Linked DNA regions of Rhinolophus ferrumequinum. The protein of the gene in region 1 interacts with the protein of each later gene in a pairwise test. Links are inferred from orthologs where the notes say so. Each region holds a gene or a part of one and is shown in the gene's direction. Other genes may lie near its edges. The genes, in order: TTC23 and CREBZF.

Region 1 (10,379 bases):
CTATCGAAATATTGTCCTATATACTAATTTTTTCTTTCTTTAATCTCTTTTTTCTTTTCTTACTTTCTTCTTATCTTTGCACATTATCAAAAGTAACAAAGAAATAGGTCTGAGAAACAGTTTTACTTTATTATTTCAATGAAAGAAAAAACACTGCACTAAGAAATAAGAACTCTGTATTCAATCTCTCGGTGCCTCAGTTGCCTAATATATAAAATGGAGACAGAAATTTATTGGTAAAAGCCAAAACCCAGAACAGATTAAATTCCCTTCTACCTCCAAATCTGACAAGGACAGGAAGAGAAATAACATTTGCCATCTAATCAACTACGCACAGAACAGAAACAAACTTCACAATCAATGAACACTAGAAGAAACAAACTCAGAGCTTCAATAATTAGTTCAAAGCCAAACAGCTCATAAGGGATAATGAAAGCAAGAATTTTTTTTTCTTGGATGGTGGGGTGTCCAGTGTATTTCAAAGGCTGGGTTCTTTACATACACAGGTACACAGGATACTAAGAAAATACTAACACTAAAAAGAAGTTGAGCTTGGTTCAAAGAGCCTACTTACTCTCTGTTTTCATGGGCACCCTTTTCTAAACTTTCTCATGGAAGGAACTTTCAAAGAGTTTGTTTTTCTTAAGAAAAACTATTTCCACTTGGAATTAGCACCAAGTTAGTGCAAAATGTAGTACCATGACTTTCAATAAGCAGAGTTTTTGGTTATTTGCTATTATTTCTGAATTCTAAATCCTAGCTAATAAGAGAGCAATTACCACTGTATACAAAAGGGCGGAGAATATGGAATATTCAATAACATCCCAATACAACATGAGAATCCAATATTTTCCCATATTTAGTCCACCTGCTCATCTATTTTTATGAGCCTTTACATGACTTGGAGCAAGAAACTCAAATCTTTTTACATCTTAATTCTCTCAGCTGCAAAGCAAGAACCTCCAACCTAACACATTTAAAAGAGACCTTCTCCCCGCCTTCAAATCCTCCCCAGTTTTTCCCATTTCAGAAAGTGGCACGCCACCCACCTCCCCACCCAGCTGCTCAAGCTGGAAGGCTAGAAGTCATGAATGATTCCATCTGGTCATTCACCTGCCACCTCCAATTCATCACAAGGCCAGTGGTTTCCATCTCCAAAATATACCTCAAATCTATCCACAGTTTTCCATCAGCCTAAACCAAAAGCTAGGCATCTCCTACCTGGCTATCTGGATTAACACAGGTCTCCGTGTCTACTCTAGCCACTTTCTGGTCCTTTAATTACTTAGCAGTGAGCCTTTTAAAATGTAAATCCAATTATATTTCCCTTTCTGTAAGGTAAACTGGCTTTCTAGTGCTCGTACATTCTACTAAATAAGCCCTTCAAAAGATTTTTTAGAAAATCAACCTCTTACCAGGACTTCAGGGCTATTCATTATCTGGCCCCATACACTTCTCCGGGTTTATCTGGCTTCTCACCAAGCTCCTGGGCTTTTCCAGTTCCAGAAAGTGTCAAACTCTTCACAGCACTTGCTGCCCTCCTCTTAGCCAAGAAAGCACCCAACGTTCCATCATCCTTCAGGTTTCAATGTAAAAATCACGCCCCTATCTCAAACTAAAGTATCCCCCAGTTATTATTGCAGAGAAACCCGATTTTTTTTTCTTTGTAGGACTCTTCACAATTTGTAATCTACATATTTACTGGTGCATTTTCTTATTGTCAATCTAGCCAAGAGACGATAAGCTCCTGAGGGCAGAGATTTTGGGGTTTTCTTCACTCTTATATACCTGCCTCTGGCATAAAGCAGGCCTTCAAACAGCTGATGAAAAGAGGATACTGAGTAACACAGTAAGTCCTCACCTAATACCTTGCATAGGGTGTGCAACTTAAAGTGAAACAATGTAGACACCAACTTTCTGGTAGGCTAACTGACATAAACAAGAGTCAAGTTCTATGTTATCTCATCAACATTATAACAAAATGACACTGAACAAACAATGTTATTCAAGGACCTGCTGTACTGCACGGTAGTTTTTTTCATTCTCTGAGCTAAGGTCAGCTTGTAGGTACTATATACTCAGTGCTTACTATGTGCCATAAAGATCCCCTAATGCTGGGGCCCGCTCCGGTGGCCCAGGCGGTTGGAGCTCCATGCTCCTAACTCCGAAGGCTGCCGGTTGGATTCCCACGTGGGCCAGTGGGCTCTCAACCACAAGGTTGCCGGTTCAACTCCTGCAAGGGATGGTGGGCTCCGCCCCCTACAACTAATTGAACACGGCACCTTGAGCTGAGCTGCAGCTGAGCTCCCAGATGGCTCATTTGGTTGGAGAGCGTCCTCTCAACCACAAGGTTGCCGGTTGGACTCAAGGGATGGTGGGCTGTGCCCCCTGGAGCTGAGCTGCGCCCTCCACAACGAAGACTGAAAGGACAACAACTTGACTTGGAAAAAAGGCCTGGAAGTACACACTGTTCCCCAATAAAGTCCTATTCCCCTTCCCCAATAAAATCTTTAAAAAAAAAAATCCCTAATGCTCACAATTCTGCAATGCAATAGACATTATTTAGCCCATTTAATGTATGAGGAAACTGTGTTTCTCATACAGTTACTTGCCAGAATTGCAGACCAGGTGCATCCACTCCAAAACCTGTGCATTGCCCTACAATGCAGCAGTTCAGGCACACACTTTGATGGGGTCGTTTAAGTGGTCGCCAAGGCTTATATAAATGTAAGACTCCAAAGCAAAACTATATATAAAACCCACACTCACTGATGCAAGATCAAAGAAGAGAATTCACTCTAGTCTGATGGCTTTCCTTCTGAACCCTCTGTCTGCCTTAAAAACGTCATTACGCCCTGTTAAATGCATCTTAGTACAAAGGCAGTTTAAACGGTAAAATCTACACAGGTGAAACCTGAAAGCCACCAATCAATCATAAATAACGCTAATGGTCTCCAATATGCGTTCACGGGCAATATACATCCTTTACCAGGATACTTTTCTTACACAGATTTCCTTCACTACCTCTTACCTACAGTTAAAAGTAAATGACATACTTAACATTAACTGTAGACCATTGCACCTCCACATGAGTTTTCTGACAGGTAAACACCAATCCACTTTATTATTTTAAAAAAGAAACAAAACCGTCTATCTTCATATTTCACACATTTTAGGCACGAGCGTCTTAGGAAAGGAGTCCCTTCGAGTGACTTCAGTACTTAATTCAGAAATACCCACTCCGATTTCCTAATACTGGACATTAGAGGATTAAAAACTTCATTAAAAGCATTTGTAAAAGGTTATTTTCTTACTTCTAAGAAGCCCTTGCTTGCAGAAGTCTTAAGCAAAACACATGCCGTCTTTGCCCGAGTTAATCAAACACTAAGGTCGTCACAGTTTGGAAGCAGCGAGCCCAGTGGCAGGGATTTCAAGAGCCAGTATCCGATTCTCAGGGCCAGGAGGGCCCGGCGACGGTGGGGACCCGAGGCCCGGCAGGGCCCACTCGCATCTGGGTCTACCCACCGCGGCCCGGACGCTTTTGCCGGACCCCACCTGGAGGTAGGGGGCCGGGACAGGGACCCTCGCCAACGTGAGCCACCCACGGACCTGGACGGTCGCACTCACCTCGGCGCCGGCGGAGCCAGCGCTCCGGGGCGCAGGCTGCGCTGGACCGCAAGCCGGGAGACGCCGGGAGGGAAGGGGCGGGGCGCCGGGCGGGGGGCGGGGCGAGGCTTGGGCGGTGAGGGGCGGGGCGGGGGAGGGAACCCTGTCAACAGAGAGCTGGGCCAGAGAGAGCAGTGGAGAGAAGAACGGAACATCGCGATATTTCCAACCTGTTCTCGCGGTTTCACGATAGGTCGGACGAGAGGCTCGTTTTCCGAGAGATGTGGCCATTGGCCGAGAGCGCTGCTTCCTGCAGGCTGGCCCCTCCCACCTCTCGACGCTCGCTTCCGGCTCCCGCTGGTATCTTGCTGTCAAGACAGTGGTTTTTTGCTGTTTTGCATTTTGAAGGGGTAATTGAGCCGGCTCGCACCTCAGGAACCGTTAGTAACCAATCTCTTCTTCCATTCACACATTCATTCAGACGTCCGTGCTGTCATTCAATGGGTACCTTGAGGCACGACCGCAGTCACACCTGAGCGCTTATTGTGTACCAGGCAGCGTTCTAAGAGCTGTGCACAGTTTACCTAACTTATCCCTCACAGCAATCCCTTGATACAAGTACTATTCTTATACTAAGTTTGACCGGTGAAAAACTGAGGCCCCGTGGGTTTATGTAAAGGGGCCAATAGTGGGCAGGTAGTGAACCCCAGCACAGGTTTAAGGGCTCACTGCGCGTTGATAGGTTCGTTCCAAAGAGGAGGCGGGAACCTAGTCTCTGCTCTTGAAATTCTACCTTTTGTTAGAAAAGATCGCTGAAAAGGATGGTAACCACTTAGTAAGTTAAATATTGGGGCGGTTCCTAGCATGGCTGGGTAGGCCGTGAATGCATATATTTTTCAAGACGGAAATTTCTATGTCAGGGGAAAGAGGCATAAAAGGACGAGAGCTTTATGCTGGGTAAAAAAAAAATAAAAATAAAAATAAAAATAAAAAAAATCAAGCATTGTCAGGGAACGTTAAAAAAAACCCAAAAACTTATTTTTTAAAATGCCTTGTTTTTTTAATATGGCAACTTGCGTTCTGCAATGAGGTTTTTCCATTTTTTTTCCTCTCATGAAACTGCTGTTATTCATTGTTCTTTGAAAAGCTTGATAATGACTAATTTACCAGTGCTTCATTGTCAAGTAACCTTGACTGTGTAGTTTTATATAGTTGGTTTAGTTCATTACTCTTCGAGATGAATAACCTAGAAAGCAGAGTTATGTTAAATAACAATAAAACCTATTCCAAAGCAAGACATGAGCTATAATGAAATGTCAATTATCTATATATTAAATCTGGTCTTCTGAAGTTAATGAAGTATATGGCATGTATTTCTAAGATCCTTTATATAGGTTTCTAAATACCTAAGAATTTGTAGTACTTAGGAATTTTTTGCTAGACTTCAAACAAGGAAACCTACAGTTTGTGTAAAAACAAAAACCTTTAGGGTATTAAAGATCAACCCAAATAAGAAGACTTCCTCCTAATACTGAAGTTACACGCGCTCAAAAAAAAAGATTAACAATAGATAGAACCATTTCTTAGAAAGTAATCAATGTTAGCCTCTTATTTTCATTTCTCTAAAAAGGGAAATATTTTAACGCATTAATTTAACATCCAATAGTTGATCACGTAAAATGAATCATCTTAAAATAACTTCTACACCGCCCCCTCCAAAAAAAAAATTGACAAAAGTAGTAGCCAAGTGATTCTATGGTTATAGTATAATATCCTATGTCTAACTTTAAAGTTCTCTAAATTTGTCGAGGGTCAATTTTCACATTTTGCCTCACCCAAATCAAGGGCGAAGAAATACTCTAAACTAGTGATTTGGCATAATTTAACAAACTTGAACATCAACAGGCAGCAATGCCACTTTAAGAAAAACCAAGAAAAAGTCAACCCCATTTTAAAATTCCCACCTCTGGCTCCCAAGGATTGGGTTATAAACTTCGACAAAATACTCTTCTCCACTCCCTATTGGTGCTTGCTCTGTCATTCATTCTTCTGCCTGGAGTTTTGTGAGGTACCAGCTTACTTTACGGGAAAAGGCTGCTCTTCTTTAGTCTGGAACTACCCTACTTTAGACTTTTTCGTGGTTATCAATCTGTATAAGGAATCGCCACACTGATCAGCGGGACCCAGTCTGGCAAATCAGGCTGTCGAGACAGCTCTGTAAATTCATTGGAAAAAGAAACGGAGAACGTCTCAAGCATACAAGGTAAATGGACAAAGGATTTTACGACACAGAGATGTAAGCATTGCAACTTTCCTGATTTTTCATTCGTTTTGAAGGAGGAAGTGTCAGGGAAAACCAGATAAACTAGGAGCAAAATCTGAGAGGGGCAGAAAGTGGTTTTCAGAGGGTGTTTTCCTCTTTAGGCTGGGGTTGGAAGAACCTTATTCCCAGGTTAGCTGTGGATTTTTGAGTGATAAAGGGAACAAAGTAATAAGATTAATTATAGATTATTTTATACTCTAAGAAGCTGTGGTTTTGTTGTTGTTGTTGTTGTTGCTTTAAAATGGATTTAGAGGGACACTTAATGTTATTGTAATTACCAAGTAAAAAGGATATTTTTTTAAATTAAAGTTTACTGGGGTGACAATTGTTAGTAAAGTTACATAGGTTTCAAGTGCACAATTCTGTATCACATCATCTATGTATCACATTGTGCGTTCACCACCCAGAGTCAGTGCTCCTTCCATCACCATATAGTTGATCCCTTTTACCTTCTAAAAGGGATAAAAAGGATATTTTTGTATACTATCATACCTAGCATAATAGACAATCCATCTGTTAAAAGATATAGGAGAAAATTAGAATCGTCTTTTGTTTCAAATTCTGTGTATATTTGTAGATTACGAGAGCCAGGGACAATCTGCTAATGGCCAAGCAAAACGATATTAGTATATGAATCAGAATCAGTAGGTAATTAATATAATAATCAGTTATCAAAAAATGAAATTCACCACTTATATAGTATTTTCAAAAATGATATGTTCATTAAAACTAAGCTCTATTAATAAAAGTTCAGGAAAATATTGATAAATGAGAATAACATATATTAAAACTTATATTTGAAATAGCAACATAATATTAGGATCTTGCCCAATATATAATTCCAAAATATGGCATTGTAAAGATTTAATTAGTAAATATAATACCTAGTAGCATATCTAAACCTCTACAAGGCTAACTCATAGTAGGTATGCAATAAATATTTCTTTAGGTGCCTCTGTTAATCCATATAGGGGGATATAAAATAATAAAATACAGTCTCTCAAGAAGCTCATACTCTAGTTAGGGGAATGAGACTCAAAACATTTAAAACATCCAGACAGTTCTTTATGCATAGATGACTATTATAGATCGTAAGTACTTCAGGTACTTAGATCAGTATGAGTTGAAATATTCAGGGAACGCTTCACAGTAGGATTGGGGCCTGAGCAATTGTGGGCCTGAGCAATGTGCAAAGTTTCAGTCGATAGAAAAGAAAGGAAGTGGCATCCTAGGTAATGAAATTGCAATAAGTAATATGCAGCCTAGAGAATAACTGGCTCTGGCTGCAGCAGAAGGTTCATTTGGGGGACTTGGTTTTAAAAAAAAAAAAAAGCACGAGAAGTTGCATGAAGAGTCAAAATTGCCAGAGTTAAGGAGTTTGGCCCTAGGATTTGAACAGGACGGAGACCTTATGAAAGTAATATTTGAAAAAGATAAAACTGACATCGCAATTTAAGATAGCTCCCAGAGCAGAGACTGGAAGGGAAGACGTTAAATGCTATGAATAATGAAGTAAGGATTAATAGCAGCCTTTTAAGACATTTTATCCAAATGCCTTTTATAAAATTCACTTGGTTGAATAACATAACTCTTACACATTTCTTTCTAAAGCATAGAGCTCATTTGTTGTTTAGCACTTAGTACAAATACAAACCATATTAGATGTGACAGCAGTTGTGATTCAATCAAAACAGTAAAAGTGATTATTGTTCCCATTGTATCAGTTCTTGCTTCTTTTCCTTCAGGATTTAAGTGTATCTCTTGGTGCTATTTAATTAAATTGAAGAATTTCAACAAACAACAACAACAAAACCCTTATAACGGAAGGATACCATGAGTGGATAGGAGGTATTCTTAGTCAGACCGTTGGCTTTCACCTAACCCGTTCTCTGAAACAGCTCAATTCCATACACTTGATGAGCTGCTACCAAGTACCAGATACTACCCTCAGTGTTGGGCAAACAAAAGTGAATCACGGACCATCTCTTCCCCCAAAAAGCAAGGTGCCTAAGGGATACCAAGCTGGTTTGTCTCCAGCTTCAAAACTTGCTTCAAAGAATCCGAGGCCCATTTAGCCTAAATTGTTGATGCTTGGTCCTTAAGAAGGTAGATGGAGAATATGGAAAATAACTCTGAGACAAGGCCCCCTGATGACCAATGGGGCAGAGTGCAATGCTCACTAAATATTCCACTTACTCTCCTGGGTACCTAGCCCCCTTTGCAGTTAGGGGAGCAAATGAAATGTCAGCAGAGTGACTGACGTGTCAATTCTGGCCAATGGTAGTGAAAAGCCCGTCTACAGTTTTCCATTCTCTGTTAGTCTACAGGACTCAGACTGATGTATAGTTCAACCTTGGTCACCCTAGTTCTCTGAGAGTCTCTGTGGATCAGACATTCCCACTCTCCACCCCCATCGTACACTATGTGGTATTTTGTTTCTGGCCTGTTTCACTTAGTAGCGTAGTGTTTTTGAAGGTTATCCACGTTGTAGTATGTATCTGTACTTTATTCCTCTTATTGCTAAGTAATTTTCCGTTGTATGGACACTACCAGATTTTTTTTATCCATTCATCAGTTAACGCACATTTGGATTGCTTTCAGTTAGCTATTGTAAGTGTTGCTGCTATGAAGATGTATACAAGTGTTTGTGTGAACATGTATATACCTAGGAGTGGAATAGCTGAGTCATATGGTAACTCTACATTTACCTATTGGAGGAATTACCCAACTGCCTTCTAAACTGAATGCACAATTTCACATTCCACCAGTGTGGTGTGAGCGTTCCAATTTCTCCACATCCTCACCAACACTTCCTAATGTCTGTCTTTTTAATTATAGTCACGCCGGTGGGTGTGGGGTGGTTCTCATTGTAGTTTTGATTTGTCGTCTCCAAATGCCCTTGGAAATAGAAGACTGACGCCCCACTTCAGACCTCTTCTTCCTTCCCCTTTGATCTGGGCCTAATCATGTGCTTCAGCCTTCTACTGGGCAGGTCTAGCAGAAGGGATCGCATCAATTGATTGAGTTTGTCTGACTGGCAGTTGTGGGGACTGATTGAGAGGCCCGGGAAGCTGAACCCAAGCCTGGCAGGGAGCCAGGCTGGTGTGTGGGGCCTGGGCTGATTTCTAATGAAAATTTAAACTCCAGCGATGGCTATTACAAAGAGAAGAAAAGTGGCTGATGATAAGCGTGTCGCTCCAAGTAAGTGAACCGAAGAGCGTGTCTTAGTGCTGAAGGTCTTGCTGTGGGATGCCCCACACGTGAAACACACACATGTATAAAGCAAGGTCACTGATTCACATGCTTCCAGGAGCCAGGCAGGTAACAGGCTTCATTTCATCGATTCGAAAAGGCACCTTTGCTTTGGCACTTAAACATCACTGACGTCGGAAGGCGTGTTCCAGGTGAAGGCAAGTCACAGGTTAATAGCAGTGTTGTTTCCTTCTTAGTGGTTATAAAATACTGGTGTGTCTTATCATCAGTGATGTTTTAGTTCAGGTGAAGTTCACATTCCTTCAGGTCAGGCTTTCACTTTGAAAGAGGTACGGACATGGAGAGACCGATTCTTTCACAAGACGGAAAGTGACAACACAGGAGCAATGGCGACTGTCCCTTTGCTGCCTCTGTGTCCAGGGAGTGGTGACAGCTGGCAAACTGGAGAGTGCACTGCCTCCAAGGCCAGCTGCGGCTCCCCTGGGGCGGGTTGTTTGTTGCCTGTGGCGACCTAGGCCCAGTATTGACAGGTGTTGCTTTTTCAAAGGAAGCCAGAAATTCAGGAATCTAGATCTTTGTGTAAAACTTCTAATTTTAAAATAATGGCTCATTTTTTTTTCCAACTGTCTCACCAAAAAAAAAAAAAAAGAAAGAAAGAAAGAAAAAGCGCGCATGGGGAGTAGTTAGATCTCAACTGTGAGCGCTCAGATTATAACCTCTGTTTTAAGGATTCAATATTATGAGGAAGCATGAGATGAACCACTGTTTACAATTAAGCGAAAAAACTAAAGAAAAGAAATAACAAACCAGTTTTTAAGTTACTTGACTATATTGTCAAGTAACCATGACTATATAGTTTTACATTGGTTTAGTTAATTTTTTGGTTTGGTTACGTTTAACGCTAGGTTCAGAGGCCCAGAAACTTTTGGCCATTATTTCTTCAAATCTCTTTTCTGTCCCTACTACAATCTGCTTTCCTTTAGAAACTCCAATTGTGTATATATAGTAGGCAACTTGAAGTTGTTTCACAGCTCACTGATTGTTTTTTGTTTTGTTTTGTTTTTGATGGTCTCTATTGCTATGTCTACAAATTCAGTCTTTTCATCATCGGTAATATCTAATCTGTCATTAATCCCACTTAGCATATTCTCCATCTCATAATTTTCATATCTAGACATTCACTTTGCTTCCATGTCTCTACTTAACTTCTTAAACATATTGAACACATTTGTAATAG
Region 2 (9,522 bases), on another chromosome or scaffold:
CAAACTATATTAAAATGAGCACTCTGTCCTCAATAGCACTCTTATTCTTCTGCTGTATCCATTCAACACAGCACCAACCCCAATTCAGCTTCATTCTCTACCATTTCTGCTCCAATTCTCTGCTATAAAAAAATCCAATAAATGTAGGAGGTCTGACAATTAAGTTTGTGAACTTGTTACAACAATGTTGCTAACCTTTTTTGATATCAGAGGGATTATTCTTTATGAATTTGTACCAACTAGACAGTTAACCAAGTTTACTATTTGGAAGTGCTGAAAGGCTGCATGAAAAAGTTAGATGACCTGAACTTTTCACCAACAACTCATGACTCTTGCATCACGAAAATGCACCAGCTCATGCGACACTGTCTATGAGGGAGTTTTTAGCCAGTAAACAAATCACTGTATTGGAACACCCTCCCTACTCACCAGATCTGGCCCCCAATGATTTCTTTCTTTACCCAAAGATAAAGGGAATATTGAAAGGAAGACATTTGGAAGACATTCAGGACATCAAGGGTAATACAATGACAGCTCTGATGGCCATTCCAGAACAAGAGTTCCAAAATTGCTTTGAAGGGTGGACTAGGCGCTGGCATCAATGCATAGCTTCCCAAGGGGAGTACTTCTAGGAGACCATAGTGATATTCAGCAATGAGGTATGTAGCACTTTTTCTAGGATGGGTTCGTGAACTTCATTGTCAGACCCCGTATGTGTTGGTGCTATAGTTGGTGCATAAAGTCATGGTCTTTGTGGAGAATTTGATACATTGGTACTCATCATCTATTTTAATCCCTCTTTTAATGTGCTTTTAATGTGCTTTACTGTATTGCAGAAATGGAAAAGCTAAAACAAAGAAACACAAAGCAAACTATATTTGCAGACTCCTCTGTAGTTATATTTGGAAGATGCAAATGAGGCAGGGAGGGGCCCTTTTTCTTTGCTTTGGCTGTTGTTGCTGCCAAGGACATTTTTGGAGACATTGGGCTTTTCCGCAACAACATCCCAATGTTCATTCACTAGTTTTATGGGATATGATAACCAGCCCCCAGGATAGTGCCTAATGATTCCTTTTTTTTTCTTTTTAAAATTAGTTTCAGGGGTCTAAAACAACATACTGTCATAGTATTCACATTCTTATGTAGTACCCTTCCACAGTGAATAAGATCTGACTCGTGTGAGCAATAGAATACTTACAGAAGTGATCATATGTGACTTCTGAGGCTAGGTCATAAAAGACGTTGCTACTACTTCCTTGGTCTCTTGGATCATTCACTCTGGGGGAAGCCAACCACTACATAGCACAGACACTCATATAGCCAGTGGAGAGGCCCATATGGAGGGGAAACTAGGCTTCCCTGAGGACCAGCCTGTCAGCCACCTTGGAAGTGGACTCTCTAGCCCAAGTCAAGCCCTCAGATGACTGCAGCCCCAGACAATATCTGACTAAATCCCATGAGAATTCTGGAGCCAGACTGCATAGCCAAGGTTTTTACAAATTTCCGTCCACAGAAACTGTGAGCGATAATAAATGTTTATTGTTGTTTTAAGCCACATATAAGCAAATATTTATTGTTGTTCTATGATTGTTTTTAGGTTTGGGGTAACTTGTTAGGCAGCAATAGATAATTAATACATGGGGTTGAGAATTTAGGCGGCAGCAGTACTCTTGAAGCCAACATTCCCACTTTCTACTTCTCACTTTCTCAACTGGGGCAGAGACAACTGTTCCTAAACAGGCCTGTTTGGCCACACTGTACTGAGACGCATTCTTGATCGCCCAGCCTAATGTTCACTCCTCCGGTCCTTCCAATGACTGTGTGAGCCCGCATTCTGTTACATCTCTCTCTGTTTAAAATAGCTGGATTGGTATCTGTTTCCTGCAATTTGAGCTTAATCTAATAAAAATACCCATCTCAAATCAATAGCTAGACATTAGAGGCATTCCTGTAAAAGTAAGGAATAAACAAGGAAGTTGGCTATCAAGAGGATTATTTAACATTAATCTGGAAATGCTATTTCATTATCGTATTGCAAAGGAGGTAACATTTTCATTATATATAATAAGGTGATATAATTGTGTACCTGGAAAATTTGAATGAATAAGCTGAAAATGAAAATTATTAAGAAAGGTCAGTGGGGTAGTCAGTTAAAAATTTAACAAAAAAATCAGTAGTTTTCCTATGTAGCAACAATAACCATTTAGAAAACATAAAAGAAGAAATAATCCAGTCCAATAGCAAAAAATACATACATAACTGGGAAAAATCAATTAATAAATGTAATGTGATTTCCATGAAAATTCCAGGTTGTTTTCTTTGAACTTGGAAAATATTATGACATTATCCAGAAGAAGAAATATTCGTGTATAGATAGACAATTCTGAGATAGTAAGACTAACAAAGGACTTGTCTTATGAGATATTAAATATATTATAAAACTACAATAAAAATGGAGTGATTTTACTTCCAGAATGGTGAGACTGTCAAATGAAATAAAAGAAAAAGACCAGAAATAGATCCAATTACATGTAAGAATTTGATATATGGCACACATGTTGGGAAATAAGTGGGGCAAGTGTGAATTGTTCAATAAATTTTATTGTGGCAGATCACTTTTTGAAAAATTATATTCCTGTTACATTTTGTACCAGAATGAATTCCATTTGAATCTAAATGAAATAAACTATGTCTCGTGTTGTTAAAAAAACTCTTAGTAATATAAACATAAGTAATTAAAGAAGTTCTAAAACACATAGGTAAATATTAGTATTATTTAGGCTAATAAAGCCTTTTTTGGCTTAACATCACAGCTAGAAACCATGAAGAAAATTTTAATAGATTATTTTAAAATGATAGCAAAACAAGCAATTTCACCCCTTCCCTCCCCTGGTATTTGATCACCTGGGGGAAAATTGGAACACATGTAAGAGACAAAGGTATATTTTCTTTATAATGTAAAGAATTCTTATAAATCAAGAAGGAAAAAGACAAACATTTTCCCTGACAAACATTTTCTCCCATCTCTAAGAAAAAATGAGCTAAGGATGTGAAAAGGCTGTTCACATTAGAAATCAATTGGTCATATGAAAAACATTCAACTCTCTAATAATCAGAGAAATGGAAATTCACACAAAAAGATGCCACGTTTTATTTTTGGAGTGGCACATTTTAAAAAGAACACGTCCACTGTCGTTGAGTGTGTAAGAATTAAATACTGTCATACACCATTGGTGAGAAATATCTTTCCATAGGTAATAAAGGTCTATTTATAAAAATTGTATTTATAGAAATTCTACTTCAAAGAGTTTATCCTAAGGGTTATAGGATAAGTGAACCAAGATGATTGTACAACATTATCATGTGGTTTATAACAGTGAAAATTTCAATATAACCTAAGTGCTATCAATGAGGAACTAATTGAATAAAATTTGCCCAGTTCATGAAATGGAATTCTAGACAGTCATAAAAAATAAGCATGTGGAGGGGAAGATCCATCTACATTTTTACACATTTTTGATTTTTTTGCAATGATCCTTATAACTAGAAAAAGAAAAACAAAACAGTTGTGAAGAAGGAGAGAGTGAGAAAAATAAGGAAAAGAAAAGGGAGGAATGATGAAGGGGAGACAATTTTCTGGGAGTTTTACTCTTGTTTCATTTGCTTTTTATCTTCTGAGGCTAGATTGTAAAAACTTCCTTCTCTTGCAGTTTTCCACTTTTCTCTTAGTCCAACTGGAGAGGCTCTCAAGCCATGTATATTTAAACCAAACTGTTGTAATTTGGAAAAAATAAAACAAATCAAACCCTGATTTCGAATTTGCCTAAAGAGAAAATGTAGTTGGATGGGCAGTCCAGAGCATATATCACCTAGAACTGTTCTGTGTTCTACTTTAGCAAAACCTTTTCTAGTAGGAAGGTTAAAAGGACATGGAGGCCCTTTATTTATTCTTCTAGATACCATAGGTCATACTTATTTTGCCCCCTGCAGAATTATTTTCATTAGTTGAATTGTAGCATTATGCTTTCAGCCAAAACTGGGGAACTTCTTCATTCATTTATTCAACAAATATTTATTGAAGCATAAGCTGTGCTTTGTACTGTTCTAATATTTGGGACCAATCAGCATGCAGCTTTCTTTGAACCTGCTTTGTATCTCTCTAAGGAACAGCCATACAAAAGTAGTTATTGTTGAAGCTATAGGCTACTTTATTGAGTATCCTACTGAGAAGTTTCTTTAAGACCTAAGAACTGGAAAGTGGTTAAGGGATTAATATGCTGCTTATGATATGTACTTATGAGCAAACAAAGTTTGTTTCCTTTTTTTATTTGGGCTAACAGGAAGCTTAGTCTATTGTTAGCTCAATTTGAGTAACTGTATAAAATATCATGTTCATGCTATTCCAATACTAACCTTTCTCTTTGGGAACTCCTTATCTTTCTATTTCATCTATATTTTCATTGGCCTTACTTTTTTAAAATTTGAATTGTTTTGTTTCTAATGTATTTGTGAATGGCTTCAAATCTCAAATACCTTGTGAGATTAAGATAAACAACATCATGAGGAAACAGACAAATCTAGAATGTGGTGCATTTTTCAAAACAACCAAACTGGTATCTTCAAAAAGCCAATACTAAGAAAAAGTAGAAAGTGGAAGGGACTAATGTACTTTGAGAAATGGTGTGAAAATCCACAATAACAACAACCAAATGCAGTTAAGTGACCCTTGACTGGACCCTGGCTCAAAATAAAACATTCTCTATAAAAGATTATTCTGAGGAAAGCTGAGGAAATTTGAATAGGGCCTGAGTAATAGATATTAGCAAATAATTGTTCATTTTCGCAAGACCTGATAATAGTAGTATGATTGTGAAAGAGAATGTCTTTATTTTTAGAGATATATACTGAAGTATGTTGGGGTGGTATGTTTTGTCTGCAACTTCGGGATAATTCAGCAAAATTAGTAATTATTTTACATTTATATGCAGGTAAAGCAAATGGCAAAATGTTAATTGTTGAATTGTTGACTCTCAGTATTGGGGTAGTATTGTTAAATTTGAGTGGCTATTGTACTATCCTTTCACATATTCTGTGTATTGGGAAGTTTTTATAAGAAAATCTTGGAAAAATTAAATTATATATGAATGATTTACTTATTTACCTCTATTTCTTCTAGTACTCTAGAAGTACTGAAATGAAAAGATTTTGTATTATGACGGGAAGGGAAAGGAGCAATTTCAAGAGGGAGCTCTGATCACCAGTCTTAAATTCCAGAGGAATCCAGGATGATGAAGATTATTCACAAATTTGGTATCTAAAAGATCAATTCTGAGCGAGAGCGGTTTCACTGGAAGTGGAAGCCAGAATAGAGTTGAGAAGTGAGGGCAAAGAGGGCAGACCACTTTTTTAAGAAACCCGTGGTTTTGTTGTTATTTTTGCCGCTGTTACTATGACATCACTGGAGAGCTGGAATTACTCCCACTCCAGCATTCCCTGAACTCTCGCGATACTAGAGCCTGGTGGAGCGCGAAAGGCCGTGGGAGGGGCTGGGGCGAGACCGACCGACTTCCGGCCAGGCCGTTGTCTGGGTGGCGCGGTCGAGTCATCGCCGGGCCTCGCGGCCTCGATCTCCCATCCTTCCCCCGCGCCTGTGCGCGGGGGGTCGACCAGCCGAGAGGGGCAGGAGGCAACCCGGACCTTCCTCGTCATTTCGTTCTGGCCGGCTCACGGGCTACCCGCGCTGGGTCCTGGGGTCCTTGGGGCCCGCGAGGCCCGGTCTAAGAGGCCGGGGCCTACGTGGGCCCGCCGCTGGGCCCCATGAGGCACAGCCTGACCAAACTGCTGGCGGCCTCGGGCAGCGACTCCCCAACACGGAGCGAGAGCCCGGCGCAAGCCGCCACCTGCTCGCTGCCCCCGGACTTGTCCCGGGCGGCAGCGACGGCAGAGGAGGAAGAGACGGCGGTAGCCAGATCTCCCGGCCGTGAGCAGCTGCGCGGCGACGAGGGCGAGTTGGAGGACGGTAGGGGGGGCCGCGGCGGCGTGGTCGTGCGCGCGCCCTCGCCGGAGGAGATGGAGGAGGAGGCGATCGCCAGCGTCCCCGGGGAAGAGACGGAGGACATGGACTTTCTGTCCGGGCTGGAACTGGCGGATCTGCTGGACCCCCGGCAACCGGACTGGCACCTGGAACCCGGGCTCAGCTCGCCCGGGCCTCTCTCCTCGTCCGGCGGAGGTTCGGATAGCGGCGGCCTTTGGAGAGGGGACGACGACGACGAGTCCGCGGCTGCGGAGATGCAGCGCTTTTCTGACCTGCTGCAGAGGCTATTAAACGGTATCGGAGGCTGCAGCAGCGGCAGTGACAGTGGTAGCGGCGAAAAGAGGCGGAGGAAGTCCCCAGGAGGAGGCGGCGGCAGCAGCGGCAACGACAACAACCAGGCGGCGACAAAGAGTCCCCGGAAGGCGGCGGCGGCCGCTGCGCGTCTTAATCGGCTGAAGAAGAAGGAGTACGTGATGGGGCTGGAGAGTCGCGTCCGGGGCCTGGCAGCCGAGAACCAGGAGCTGCGGGCCGAGAATCGGGAGCTGGGCAAGCGCGTGCAAGCACTGCAGGAGGAGAGTCGCTACCTACGCGCCGTCTTAGCCAACGAGACCGGACTGGCTCGCTTGCTGAGCCGGCTGAGCGGCGTGGGACTGCGGCTGACCACCTCGCTCTTCAGAGACTCGCCCGCCGGGGACCACGACTACGCTCTGCCGGTGGGAAAGCAGCAGCAGGACCTGCTGGAAGAGGACGACGCGGCGGGAGGAGTGTGTCTTCATGTGGACAAGGATAAGGTGTCGGTGGAGTTCTGCTCGGCGTGCGCCCGGAAGGCGTCGTCTTCTCTTAAAATGTAGGGTCAAGTAATCTGCTCTTTATCCGCGTTTACCCCTTTCAACTCCCTTACACCATGTAAAACACCTTAGTGGGACATCTTCACTGGACACATTTCAGAGGAGGAAAAAAGTAATATTGAATCTTTAAGTGTTTAGCTAAAAGCATGAATGTGACACTGTAACCAACTCCTAATGATAACATGTGACTATTAAATCTCTCTGACAGTTTCTTTTTTAGGTGATTTCCTTCCTGCCAGGCTCCGTTGTAGGGGTTACAGAACAGTCGTTCCCGCCTCACAACCTGGTAAGGATCCATCTCTTCACGTAACGCTCATGCTCTGCTGCTTAGTCTACTTTAATGGGCAACATCTCAATTTGTGTGTGTGTGGAGATATTTTTTTGTTTTCTTTTTTGGAAGGCGGGAGGGGAATCTGATTTGGGCCCTGTCCACCCTGGAAACAGACTTGTGCTGGTCAAATAATGTATTTAAGATGCTTCTTCTGGTTGAAATAGCTGTTAATGTGTCCCCTTGTTCAGACTTGCGTGTACCTAGCTCTTCTGTCCCCAGTGTGGACATGGCCTTGGATGACATCGATTCCAACTGTACACTGAAAGCTGCTAATAGAAATACAGTTTGGAGACAGTGAAACAGGTGAAGTTGAATGGAAGTTCCGAGTTGTACCAGGTGCAAATTGGAATTCCAATTTTAGAGCAACTTTTCAGAGGTTGACAATAAGTGTTTGGGGCATGCACCAATGTGATAGTTATTTTGCTGGAGATGACAGAAATCTCCTAAATATTCAAGAATGCCTTTTAGTTTTCAGTAGATCTAGAAATACAATATTCAGATTAACAGATATCTCATCATTAGAAAAAATTTGGAAATTAACATGCATATCAGACTCCTGTATTAGTTAATAGGAGGAGGAATCAGAATGGTTAATGAAATGTTTCTTTGAGAACCAGCACAGTGATTACCCTATCACTGAGTATGAATAAATTGTTGAACACCTTTATTTTTGTTGTATTAAAATTTTAGGTTAACTTTATGTAAGATTTTGAAGGTTGTGAAATATGAATGAAAACATGTAAAGTGAGGCTTCACAAAGAATCTTATTTCAAATATATTTGTCCTATTTAAAATTATTTAAAAATAATTTTACAAATTGAGTTGTTCTGGCTACTAATGACACGATTGACACTTTTCCCAAAGATGGGACATATTCTTTTGCAGTATTCTGTTATCTATTGTCCAGTTGTATAAATAGAGTTACGGTGTCCTTCAGTGTAAGAGACAATAAGAAATTCTTTGTGAAACATCACTGTTTGATAAAGTATATACGTATTTAGCATCCTTGTTTTTCTTTGTGCTAAAGTGGATACAGCTGTTGGGGCAGAAGAGACGGGACCAGCTGCTGGCCACATTTCCTGCTTTATTTTAAAAGGTAGTATAAGAAATGAGGAAAAAGAGGTAATATCAGGGCTTCTGCTGTCTTTTATTTTAAAATGTTCATAATTAAAAAGTATTTTCCAGCAGTCCAAAGATGTAAGTTATCTTACACATAAAATGTTTTATTTTGTTGTTATTTGGTTATGAAAATGGAATCCTTGTTCTTGCACAACTGTAAATGTTTTGTTGCTAGATAATACGATTTGAGATCTAACTTGGTCTCTGGTTTCCAGTGCATCACAGCATATTTTGTAAAATCTTCTATTGCACTTGAGCATGAATGGGTAGTAGCCAAACTCACAACCTGGAGTGATGAACCTGCTTATACCTAAGTGCAGGAGCAAGCCCCTCACAATGCAGCTGCATGGAGTTTTAGTGCCTACTGAATTATATATATAAACCAAAAGTAGTTGGAAAAATTATTTGAAATGACTAATTTGTGCTATCTTTATGGAATATGTTAAATGTAGCTTTTTGAAACAGAAGCCTTGAATTGAAATTTAATTAATACTTGAACATTTTGTATATATTTCTTTGTATATAATTTTGTGCAGTACCAATGACAAAAATACGGTGTCATAATAAAACCAGGTTTGTTGATCTTTCAGTTATGGGCTCAAAGAATTTATTCATCTCTATCATGACATTGGAAAATAATGGATGAAAATAGGAAAAATAATTGTTGTTAATGCTGACTGTGGGTCTTAAAAGGTTCTGGAAGCAGTAAGTGCGTTTTTCTAAAAATTATACTGTTCCTTGGCATATTTTCTTCCTAATGGCAATGCTTTTCCTGCATTATTTGAAGTTTGGGGCTGGGGAGAAACAGTAGTCAAAGCTTTCTGAATTGGGCTGCTTTGAAATTCCAAGTGTAGATTTTTAGAATGTCATTTTATAAATGGCAGTTTTTGGAAATACTTGATTAAGAACTTTTGAAAATGGAGATTAGTATCACCTATTTTAAAGCTGCTTTGTTAGGTTCCTTATGTTTTAACTGTCTCTTCTTAGTTTCCATTTCATTTTCTTTTTTTTTCCTAATTTTGGTGACTCAGTGATTTTGTCATTTTTTTACATCAACTTCATGGTCTTGTTTTTACATGGTATTGCATGTATTTAGGACCTATCTAACAGGGGCTTTAAATAAATTTGGTCACATTTATGTGTAAGCACATTTTACTGTAAATGTTTGAGTTTCTGAATTTACAATAGAT

The links.
Region 2: the proteins of TTC23 (region 1) and CREBZF interact in binary tests that used the Homo sapiens proteins (3 or more experiments, as listed by UniProt). The two-hybrid records come from large-scale screens. The link is inferred for Rhinolophus ferrumequinum from reciprocal best matches to the Homo sapiens genes TTC23 and CREBZF.

What each region holds. Positions count from the first base shown.
Region 1 is NC_046311.1:11,644,874-11,655,252, reverse strand, and holds the start of TTC23 (tetratricopeptide repeat protein 23), read left to right. Parts: upstream 1-4,733; 5' UTR 4,734-5,902; intron 5,903-10,379. UniProt on the Homo sapiens protein: Participates positively in the ciliary Hedgehog (Hh) signaling.
Region 2 is NC_046294.1:58,631,201-58,640,722, reverse strand, and holds the start of CREBZF (CREB/ATF bZIP transcription factor), read left to right. Parts: upstream 1-5,544; 5' UTR 5,545-5,817; coding exon 5,818-6,881; coding exon of another isoform or gene 6,882-6,885; exon of another isoform or gene 6,886-7,090; coding exon 7,091-7,106; 3' UTR 7,107-7,168; intron 7,169-8,240; 3' UTR 8,241-8,309; exon of another isoform or gene 8,310-8,921; intron 8,922-8,922; 3' UTR 8,923-9,522.